2 linked regions of the Callithrix jacchus genome follow. The protein of the gene in region 2 binds, or shares a complex with, the protein of the main gene of each other region. Links are inferred from orthologs where the notes say so. Each region holds a gene or a part of one and is shown on either strand. Other genes may lie near its edges.

The links. Proteins that work in one complex are often made in the same cells at the same time.
Region 1: EXOSC6 (region 2) and EXOSC1 share a complex: the UniProt entries of both Homo sapiens proteins name them as parts of the RNA exosome core complex. The link is inferred for Callithrix jacchus from reciprocal best matches to the Homo sapiens genes EXOSC6 and EXOSC1.

The regions. Positions count from the first base shown.
Region 1 is NC_133513.1:90,265,844-90,270,949, forward strand, and holds the start of EXOSC1 (exosome complex component CSL4), read right to left. Parts: upstream 2,995-5,106; 5' UTR 2,975-2,994; coding exon 2,944-2,974; intron 2,839-2,943; coding exon 2,723-2,838; intron 260-2,722; coding exon 185-259; intron 1-184. Other genes in the region: palmitoyltransferase ZDHHC16, read left to right, coding at 4,330-4,469. UniProt on the Homo sapiens protein: Non-catalytic component of the RNA exosome complex which has 3'->5' exoribonuclease activity and participates in a multitude of cellular RNA processing and degradation events.
Region 2 is NC_133521.1:31,650,931-31,656,036, forward strand, and holds EXOSC6 (exosome complex component MTR3), read left to right. Parts: upstream 1-1,977; 5' UTR 1,978-2,022; coding exon 2,023-2,838; 3' UTR 2,839-4,501; downstream 4,502-5,106. Other genes in the region: AARS1 (alanine--tRNA ligase, cytoplasmic), read left to right, coding at 1-102, 208-294, 601-714, 1,050-1,235. UniProt on the Homo sapiens protein: Non-catalytic component of the RNA exosome complex which has 3'->5' exoribonuclease activity and participates in a multitude of cellular RNA processing and degradation events.

The DNA of each region.
Region 1 (5,106 bases), on a different chromosome or scaffold from region 2:
GCCTTGGCCTCTGAAAGTGCTAGATGCAGTATGAGCCACTGCACCCAGCCAGAAATAAATTTTTAATACTGTTTAAGTAGCCATATGTAGCTTGTGGCTATCATACTGGACACTGCAGTTCTAGCATGATCATGATTTCAGTATTGAAAGGGCATTCAAAGCATGGAGGTTAGAACCGTCTTACCTTACAGGTTACAATAGCTCCCACATCTGGCAGTAATTGGGACTCTGTTTCTCTCATTACAGACACCACAGGAAGCTACAGAGGGAACAACAAAAAACTGAAATGTCCTGGCTAACCCTTGGGTCAAGGCATTTGTGGCTTGAGAGTAACATAGGAATGCCTTAGTACACAGTTGAGAGTTGGAGTACAGATTCATTTATAGCCCAGAGCAGAAGACATTAGAAACTTTAGGAAATAGTAGGAAAAAGAGGTTACAGAATGCTGCTAAGACATAAATCTCACTATTCTAGATGAGTTCTAGTAAGTTTTTTGGTGATTCTCTTGGAATTTCTTGGTATACAACTATATACTGCCTATAATCATGGATAATTTTTTTCTTTTTTTTTTTTGAGATGGAGTTTCACTCTTGTTGCCCAGGCTGGAGTCCAGTGGCACGATCTCGGCTCACTGCCACCTCCGCCTCCTGAGTACAAGTGATTCTCCTGCCTCAGCCTCCTGAGTAGCTGGGATTACAGGCACGCGCCAACATGCCCAGCTAATTTTTTGTATTTTTAGTAGAGACGGGGTTTCACCATGTTGACCAGGATGGTCTCGATCTCTTGACCTCGTGATCCACCCGCCTCGGCCTCCCAAAGTGCTGGGATTACAGGCTTGAGCCCCCGCCTGGCTGAAATTCCCACAAAAATGTTACATAATAGTGGCCATGCTTGTTTTCTTCTATTTTAAGTGAATAGCTGCATTTGCTCTTTGAGCATGGTATTGGCTGTTGGTGTAAGACAGATAGTTTGAACCTCATCTTTTATCAATCTCTCCCTTGGTCATGATGCTTCAGCTCTCCTGGCCTTCTTTCAGTTTCTCTGACTTACTAAATTCTTCCCACTTTTGGATCTCTCTTCAACCCGTTCTTTCTACCAGAACTACACTCTCTCCACCCACCCAACTCTTACTTACTCTTTAGATGATTCAGCTTAAATGTCACTTCTGCTGACTAGGGTGGGTTTGGTTGTTACATGTTTTCAAGGTGCCCTGTAATATTCTTTTAAGCAGTCACCAAATATGTAACCATATACAATTTAAGCATTTATTTTACAATTTGTGTCTGTGTCCTTTGATAGCAGAAACCAAGTCAGCGCTGTGCCTGACACATGAAAACACTCAGATGGTATCTGTGAAGTGAAGAAACTCAGGACTGTTAAGGACATTCCCAAGAATGACTGAATAGAAAGCCCCTTGAATCAGACAGCTTAATTTACTTACTCAAAGCAGAATCAAGGTCTAGTTAGCTAGAACCTATGTGTTCTAATTCTGAATCCTCTATTGTGCTCCTTCAAATATTGCTTATGCGATCCTGAGCTAATCCTAGATCAATTTCTGATTTTTTTTTTTTTGAGACGGAGTTTCGCTTGTGTTACCCAGGGGCTAAAGTGCAATGGCGCTATCTCGGTTCACTGCAACCTCCGCCTCCTGGATTCAGGCAATTCTCCTGCCTCAGCCTCCTGAGTAGCTGGGATTACAGACATGCGCCACCATGCCCAGCTAATTTTTTGTACTTTTTAGTAGAGACGGGGTTTCACCATGTTGACCAGGATGGTCTCGATCTCTTGACCTCGTGATTCACCCGCCTCGGCCTCCCAAAGTGCTGGGATTAGAGGCTTGAGCCACCGCGCCCAGCCCGATCAATTTCTAAAACTAGAAAGTTTGGTATTATGCATTCAACAAACATTTATTGAGGAGCTGCCTTGTGCTAGATACTGAATGTATGGTGGTAGGGCCTGCTTTCATGGAACTTAGATTCAAGCAGTGGAGAAGTCTGGTGGGAATCATATACCTGAGTTTCTAATCATATGCTGACATAAATGCTTGGAATAAAAGGAACAGAGGTCTTTGTGAGTCTTAAACAAAACAAACAAAAACAAAACACCCCACAAAACCCCTTTCCTCAATTAGTGGGTCCAGAAGGGCTTCTCTGAGAAGTTGATAGTACAGAAGCTATCTAAAGGAGGTAGGAATTAAATGGGCCTAGGAAGACAGAAGCGTTCCAGATAGATGAATGTTACAAAGGCTCTGTAGCAGGAGAAAGCTTGGCACCTTAGCGACATTGAGAGAAGCTAGTATGTTATAAATTTTTTAAAAAAGGGCAAGCAGAGACTGTGATTATAAATTTTAAAAACAGAAAAGACAGTATGACTAGATTGCGTCAGTGAGGTGGAGATAGTGGCGCAAGATAAAGCCGGAGAGATAAGCGACATTCATACAGTATGCAACTCACTGCTGGGCTGGGCTGGGTTACTGAGTTCACATCTGCTTTTGTCCCAACCTCCCTCCCCAAGAGTCAGCAGCACAACCAAGCGAGATCAACACAACTAGTTTGTGGTGTCCAAGTGCACAACGGCGGCGATCACGGCTAGAAGAAACTAAGACCAAGGTTGTACCGGTGAGGCACTAAAGACACGTCCGCAGTGGCCATGCCTAAGGACTGGAACTTAATGAAAGCCTAAGTGAAAAGAGAGAGAGGAGACGGCAAGCCGCTCCCTTTACCGCGCCGTTCTCGCTGCTCTTCATCAGGCAGCCGGCAAGCGACGAAAAGATGTAACCGTGGCGGGTGTAGGTGCCACTGCCCGGGCTGCCCTCCTCCAAGTTACACAGACGTTCGCCTGCAGAAAAAATGCTCTATCAGTCACTGGCCCCCAGAAGCTATAGGCCGTCCAGCCTTCCAGCTTCGACCTCTTTCCAGGACTCTACGGGAAGCGCTCTCTTACCGGGAATGCAGTATCTGACGGGTGGCGCCATGATTGCCGCTGTCCAAACCCGGATGGAAACGAAGTCGACTTCTCATTGGCCAAACCCAGGCACAGTTCCGCAGTAAGACTTGCGTCAATTGGTGTTCTTTATCACGTGATCTGTAGGAGCGCCTCCTTGCGGGTAAACTCAATTTCCCAGATTACCCCGGGACAAATCCGGGGGCGGAACTTCAGAGCTCCACGCTTGCGACTGCGCCTGTGGTTGAGGATGGGCTGGCGGCGGGTCCGGTTGCGCTGGCTGGCGCTGCGGGCTGCGTGCCATGGTGGGTTGGATTGAGCCCGGCCCGGCCGGGGCGCCGAGTCAGAAGGGGTGGCAGTGAGCGGCGGCAGAGGCTGCGGGGCTCGGTTTGGCTGACTGGGGAGTCGGCAGGCGGCAGGTAAGGGCGAAGCCTCGGCCCTTGCTCCCAATCCTAGTCCCTTTTTTTGGGTCGGGCACTGCCCTGAGGCCTTGTCTTGAGTCCGGGTTCCTGCTCTCTCCCCGCCCCGCCCTGCGGGGCCGTGTCTTCCTCCGCCGGAGCACACCTTCCGAGCAACCGTTAGGCATAGAGCCGGAAGGAAGGAGGTCAAGCGACCCCCTCCATTTCACAGATAGGGAACCTCAGATTCAGAGACAGGGTTTGGCTTGTCCAAAATCTTGAAGATAGTTAAGATAGAGCCCAAACTGGAACCCACGGTTTTTGACTTACAGACCGTCGCAGTTTCACCTCGTGGCTCTCATTGAGAAATAAAACCTTTTCCTGTTTGTTTGTTTGTTTTTTTAAATATATACGGGGTCTCGCTCTGTCGCCAGGCTGGAGTGTAGTGGCGTGATCTCGGCTCACTGAAATCTACGCCCCCTGGGTTCAAACAGTTCTGCCTCAGCCTCCCAAGCAGCTGGGATTACAGGCGTGTGTCACCGTGCCTGGCTAATTTTTGTACTTAGAGACAGGGTTTCACCTTGTTGGCCAGCCTGGTCCCGAACTCTTGGTCTCAGGTGATCCACCCGCCTCGGCCTCCCAAGGTGTTAGGATAACAGGCGTGAGCCACCGCGCCTGGTCCTTTTCCCGGTTTTTTAAACCGCAGCTTTCAGTCCTGCGTTCTGATCCTCTTCACGGCCCCCCATCCCTACTTCAGTGAGCTTTCTCAGGTTGAAAAAGTCGAGCTCTGGTTGTGTGGGCCCCTCATGAAAAGATGAGCAGCCCCAAAATAAAGTTGCTATTCTTTTTCTTCTCAGCGTGTTAGCCCAGAAGGGAGATCTGCACATGAATAAAATGCTACTCTTCATTGATGTCTGGTATCTCCTACTTGGAATTGCAAACATCCTAAGAGCAGCGTCTTTGATCTCAGTTGTTCACCTGACTTCTGATGGCGTTTGCCGTGTGTCCCTGTTCCCTCAGTCGACTTTCCCCTTGGGAAACAGATGGTGACTTAGAGCCATGGGAAGAAGGGAGGCTGTGGCCTGTAGTCTCCTCCAGTCTGGTGGCAGATCATGACTATGGCCTGTGGTGACTACTCTGAGGGATCACAGTACTCGGGGCTTCTGCTTGGGGTGGTAGTGAGGCTACACTTTGCCCTTCTTCCCCCCACACATCTTTCTGAATTTTGCTTTACCTCAGTGTCCTGAGATGAAAAGTCTATGTGTTCAGTTGTAGCCCACTTACTACATATATCATTTTCCTGGCATCCCCTACCCCATTAGCTAAAGGGGAGAGGCCCTAGCCTCAGACTTTGTTCACCTAAATCTGTATCTATGCATTTAGGAGTTTTTTATTTTTCTTCTTATTTTTTTTTTGAGATGGAATTTTGTCCCTCTTGCCCAGGCTGGAGTGCAATGGCATGATCTGACTCTCCACAACCTCCACCTCTCAGGTTCAAGTGATTCTCCCACCTCAGTCTTCCATGTAGCTGGGATTACAGGCATGCACCTCCATGCCTGGCTTATTTTGTATTTTTAGTAGAGACGGGGGTTTCTCCATGTTGGTCAGGCCAGTCTCAAACTCCCGACCTCAGGTGATCTGCCCGCCTTGGCCTCCCAAAGTGCTGGGATTATAGGCATGAGCCCCCATGTCCGGTGTCTAGGAGCTTTTCACATAGTTGGGCTGATTTCTGGTTGAACTTGTTTTAAAAAACAACTTCTAGCTC
Region 2 (5,106 bases):
ATCCCCCAGTGGCAGAAGGACGAATTGCGGGAGACTCTCAAATCCCTAAAGAAGGTCATGGATGACCTGGACCGCGCCAGCAAAGCTGATGTCCAGAAGCGAGTGAGTCCTGGCAGTGCCGGTGGCCAGAGCGGTTTCTAGGCAAAGGCCAGCAGGATTGGGCCTGGGTTTCAGAGCCTGCTGTTTTTCTGGACTTTTCTCCTGCAGGTATTGGAGAAGACAAAGCAGCTTATTGACAGCAACCCCAACCAGCCCCTTGTCATCCTGGAGATGGAGAGTGGTGCCTCAGCCAAGGTAACCTAGGGACCGGGGCCCTTACCCTGGGGCTCAGCAGCCCTCTGGTGGCTGATACGCGTCCTCTGTGGCTCTTAGCCAAGGGGTTATCTGGGGCCCCCTATCTGGGATTTAGGTGGGACTGAGCCCTGGGGTGATCTGGCTCTGGGTGGGAAGAGGAGCAGCTCCTTGCATGTGTGGGGCACGCTTGGGTGGGGTTGGGGGTGTGTGGCGGTCTTGCTGTGGACTGCAGGCTCTCACCTGAGTGGAGAGCAGGGTACCTGCTCCAGCACCGTGGCCTGAGCCAGCTCTTCCCACCCCCCGCAGGCCCTGAATGAAGCTTTGAAGCTCTTCAAGATGCACTCCCCTCAGACGTCTGCCATGCTCTTCACTGTGGATAATGAGGCTGGCAAAATCACGTGCCTGTGTCAAGTCCCCCAGGTCAGAACTGCCTACGACCTTTCACACCAGGGGGGCAGTGTAGGTCTTAAGCTTATTCCTGAGGCCTGTGTGTTCACAATCGGCATTTGAAACTAGACACCTGTTGCCCTTTACCCCGGCCTTCTCATTGGTGAAGATGTCTGGTTGATACTTGGCTTTGCCACTCTGTCCTTTCCTGGCTGTGGCTATGACTTCCCCCTTTACCAGCTGTTAAGCGTGTCTCGGCTGCCAGCATCACCACCCTGGGCAGGAGTGGGGGATGGCTCCTGCATTTCTTTTCCTCCATTCCTCATTTATCTTGTGTCCTAACTCCCCCTTCCCTTCTTTTCTTCCAGAATGCAGCCAATAGGGGCCTAAAAGCCAGCGAGTGGGTGCAGCAGGTATCAGGCCTGATGGATGGTAAGGGTGGTGGCAAGGATGTGTCTGCGCAGGCCACAGGCAAGAACGTTGGCTGCCTGCAGGAGGCGCTGCAGCTGGCCACTTCCTTTGCCCAGCTGCACCTCGGGGATGTGAAGAACTGAGGTGGGGAAGGAGGAGTTTGGCACTGGATCCATAGGTCCAGCCAGGAGTTCCTCCTCTGCTCTAAGAACATTAGAATCTTGGGACCTTTAAAGAGCTCCCACCATCTTCCTAACCCCACGGTAACTGGAAGAGGTCCTGTGACCCAGTATTCCTTATATGTCTGCCCTGAGTACCCCAGCATTGCTGTTGTGCATCGATAGGCATCTGGAGCGGACAGCTCTCCAGACCTGAGCTGTCTGGGTTAGCAAATGGGAATCATTTTCGCTGCAGAGAATAAAGGACCATGTGCAATAATTGACGCCGCAGGATCTCTACCCATTCCCAATGGGGGCGCGCCGTTTCCACAGCCTGTGGCCCCTGCTGTCTAGAATAAATGCTGTGACTCCTGCTGGCTGCTGCTGTATTCACTGTCTAGCCCCAGAACTCTGAATTTTGGGAGTAGCCCCTGTGGTTGCCTCAACCGTTTGTGGCGATGGAAGCCAAATAGGTGACATAGAGGGAGGTGTTCATAATTCAACAGAAAATGAGGGGTGGAAGCAGAGAAGCCTCTTTCTTCTAACTGCCGCCCCCCGCCCCCGTTGTATGTATGAACGCCACATGCCCTGCACTAGCGGCACCAAGGCTTTGAGGACGCCGGCCGTTCTCCCTCCAGGCCTTCAGAGGGCGCTATAGCGAAGCCGGCTGCTCCCCGACATCCTTCGCGCAGGCGCGCATCTTTAAGCAGCGGAAGAGCTGGTGTGCGTGGTGGAGCAGCGGCCGGAAGCAGGTCGCACGCCAGGCGCCGTGATGCCTGGGGACCACCGCCGTATACGCGGCCCGGAGGAATCACAGCCGCCGCAGCTGTACGCGGCCGACGAAGAGGATGCGCCCGCCGCTCGCGACCCGACGCGGCTGCGACCCGTGTACGCTCGCGCGGGGTTGCTGAGCCAAGCCAAGGGCTCAGCCTACCTGGAGGCAGGAGGCACCAAGGTGTTGTGCGCGGTGTCGGGCCCGCGCCAGGCCGAGGGCGGCGAGCGCGGGGGCGGCCCGGCCGGAGCGGGTGGCGAGGCCCCGGCCGCGCTGCGTGGTCGACTGCTCTGCGATTTCCGCCGCGCCCCCTTCGCGGGGCGCCGGCGCCGCGCTCCCCAGGGCGGCGGTGAGGAGCGTGAGCTGGCGCTGGCGCTGCAGGAGGCGCTGGAGCCAGCGGTGCGCCTGGGCCGATACCCGCGTGCACAGCTCGAGGTGTCTGCGCTGCTGCTGGAGGACGGGGGCTCAGCCCTGGCCGCCGCGCTCACCGCCGCTGCGCTCGCCCTGGCCGATGCGGGCGTGGAGATGTACGACCTGGTGGTGGGCTGCGGCCTGAGCCTCGCTCCGGGGCCCGCGTCCACCTGGCTACTGGACCCCACGCGGCTCGAGGAGGAGCGCGCCGCCGCCGGTCTCACTGTGGCACTCATGCCCGTCCTGAATCAGGTGGCTGGGCTGCTGGGTAGCGGGGAGGGTGGCCTGACCGAGAGCTGGGCGGAGGCCGTACGCCTTGGCCTCGAGGGCTGCCAGCGCCTCTATCCAGTGTTGCAGCAGTGCCTGGTGCGGGCTGCCCGTCGCAGGGGCGCCGCCCCGCCCTGAACAACGACGGACGCCACGCCGAGACCCGTGCCGTGGGCCTCGAGCCTGCATCGAGATATGCAGCAGGAGCCCCGGAGAGCACCTGGAGAGGCTGAAACAGAGCCGAGGCGCCAGACAGCTGTGGTGGTGGAAGGGCTTTTTACAAACCTCATTAAAGGAACTTTCCTCCTTTAGCCGGCTCTCAGCTGCGACCCAGTTGAGAACACCTGTGAGCGCAGCCTGACTTCCAGGCTGGAAACTTGGAACTTACCTGGAAGCTGGTATCTGGGAACTGTAGTCATTTAAGGGATAGATCCTTTGCACCGCCAGCCAGAGACTCCCTCTGACGTAACTGGGCGACTTTTGAGAGGTTGGACAAGAGGCTGTGCCTTCTCACCGTGTCTGAGCCAAAAGAAAAACACTTCTATATCTGAAAAGCGTCTTCTGTTGTGATTCTTCTTGGTCCAGGATTTTAGAGAGCACGGCTTCTTTGTTCTTACATCCCAGGTGGCAAGGGGCCGTGACCGCGGTGCCTTTAACCGGTCCCGTTCCTTAGACCAACTTGAACGGGACAGATAGGCTGCAAAGAACAGCTGCAGGACTGGATGTGGGCCCTGTGCTTTATAGAAGGAGAAGCTGCCCCCACACGAACCAGAGACAGGACAGCTGCTGAGATATGACAAAAGTAGGAAGAGTTGTATGGCCCCAGCGGCGCGCTGAGTGCACCCCAGCCCCCCACCCTGGTTTGGTACTGGGCAAGACCCAACTCGGCTGGGTAGCTGGAATGGGTTTTGCTCTGGGTGGAAGCCAGATCTGTCCTTGGCCATGTGGAGAACGGCACAACCAGAGGCCTCCACAGCCGGTGGGAAGTGGTGTCCTGGGCCGTCTTCACGTGGTGCCTTGGTCCTAGGAGGAAAACCCTGAGCAACGCCCAGAGAGGGCAGGTGAACTGCCAGGAAAGCCAGGTACGGCTTGGCTGCTCCATAGGGCAGAACCGGCCTGACTCACCACGAGGGTGGGGTCTTTCCTGTGTGGCTCCCAGATCTGCTGGTCTGGTCTCAAGGCTGCTCTGGACGCAGCCAGGTGACTGCCATTGAGAAGGCAGGGCAGCCTGGTCCGGTCTCTGCACTCGGCTTCTCGGGGAAGGGCCGGTGCCGGGCAGCCCAAGGACCAGAATGAGTTTCTGGAGCCACACCAAGAAGCCTTGACCAGGAAAAAGATTTATGAATTTTATTTTTTCCCTTTTGACTTACCTTTCCAGAGCAGGTCTGAAATGGTATCACACCAGTGGAGACAGCTCATGTTATTCTGAAGGATGGCTTTGGAGAGTGGATGACGAGTCTGGAGCCCCAAGAGGGTGGTGTGGGGTGTACGCCGAGGACCTTCCGGCTGTTTCGGGCAGGGAGGGAGACTGGGATCCCAGGGAAATCTGTTGGCTGTTGGTGCATCCAGAGGGGAGTGAAGAGCAGCTGTGGCCGTGTCTGCACTCAGGACTGAGGATTGCCCCTGAGTGCTGGGGTGGGGTGGGGGTGGGCTGTCAGCTGTCCCTTGGAAGACAGCCTCAGCTTCATGAGGATGGCGACCTGGTACAGTCCCAGGCTACCTCCCTCCTAACGCTGTCAGTCCCATGGCTGTCATCGTGAAATGTAACCTCCTAAGAAGCTAAACCTGCTGCAACAGTGAACCTTCCGCTTTTCTGGCCAAGCCCTGTGTTCTCTTCTATTGACCCAGCTCCAGAACGGGTATCTCAGGTTGCATGGGTGCTACCAGGAGGCCTTCACAACCTAGGCAAGGCAAGGACCTACCCCAGAACGCCCGGAGCTGATGAGCCTGGAGGAGATCCTGCTTCCTCTTGGCTGTCCTGGTCCTATGCGTGGTCCTCCACCTGTAGGGAAAGTAGAAGCAGGACGTTAGTGGAGGGGCAGGAGGCATGGGCTAGGAAAGGAGGGGCCCACAGCACCTAGTCTTTCTGCACCCACTTTCCATTTCCCCAGAGCTTTGGCACCTCAGATCTAGGAACTCAGAACCACCAGGCAAAAGAAAGCATTTTTTCTACATGGAGATGTGCCCATTCAAATGTTACAGGTGTGACTCAGGCCCTGGGCAGCAGAGAGAGCTCTCCCGAGCCCAGCAGGCCAAGAACAGAGCTGTGTGGGTGGATGGGGGTGGGCTCCCAGCACAGTGTAGGCCAGGCGTGGCCTGCCTCAGACCACCGAGAGTGGAGGTGATGGTAGAGCAGGGAATGTTGGGGCCCTCTAATTTCACACAGAGGGCTGTTACCAGTTCCAG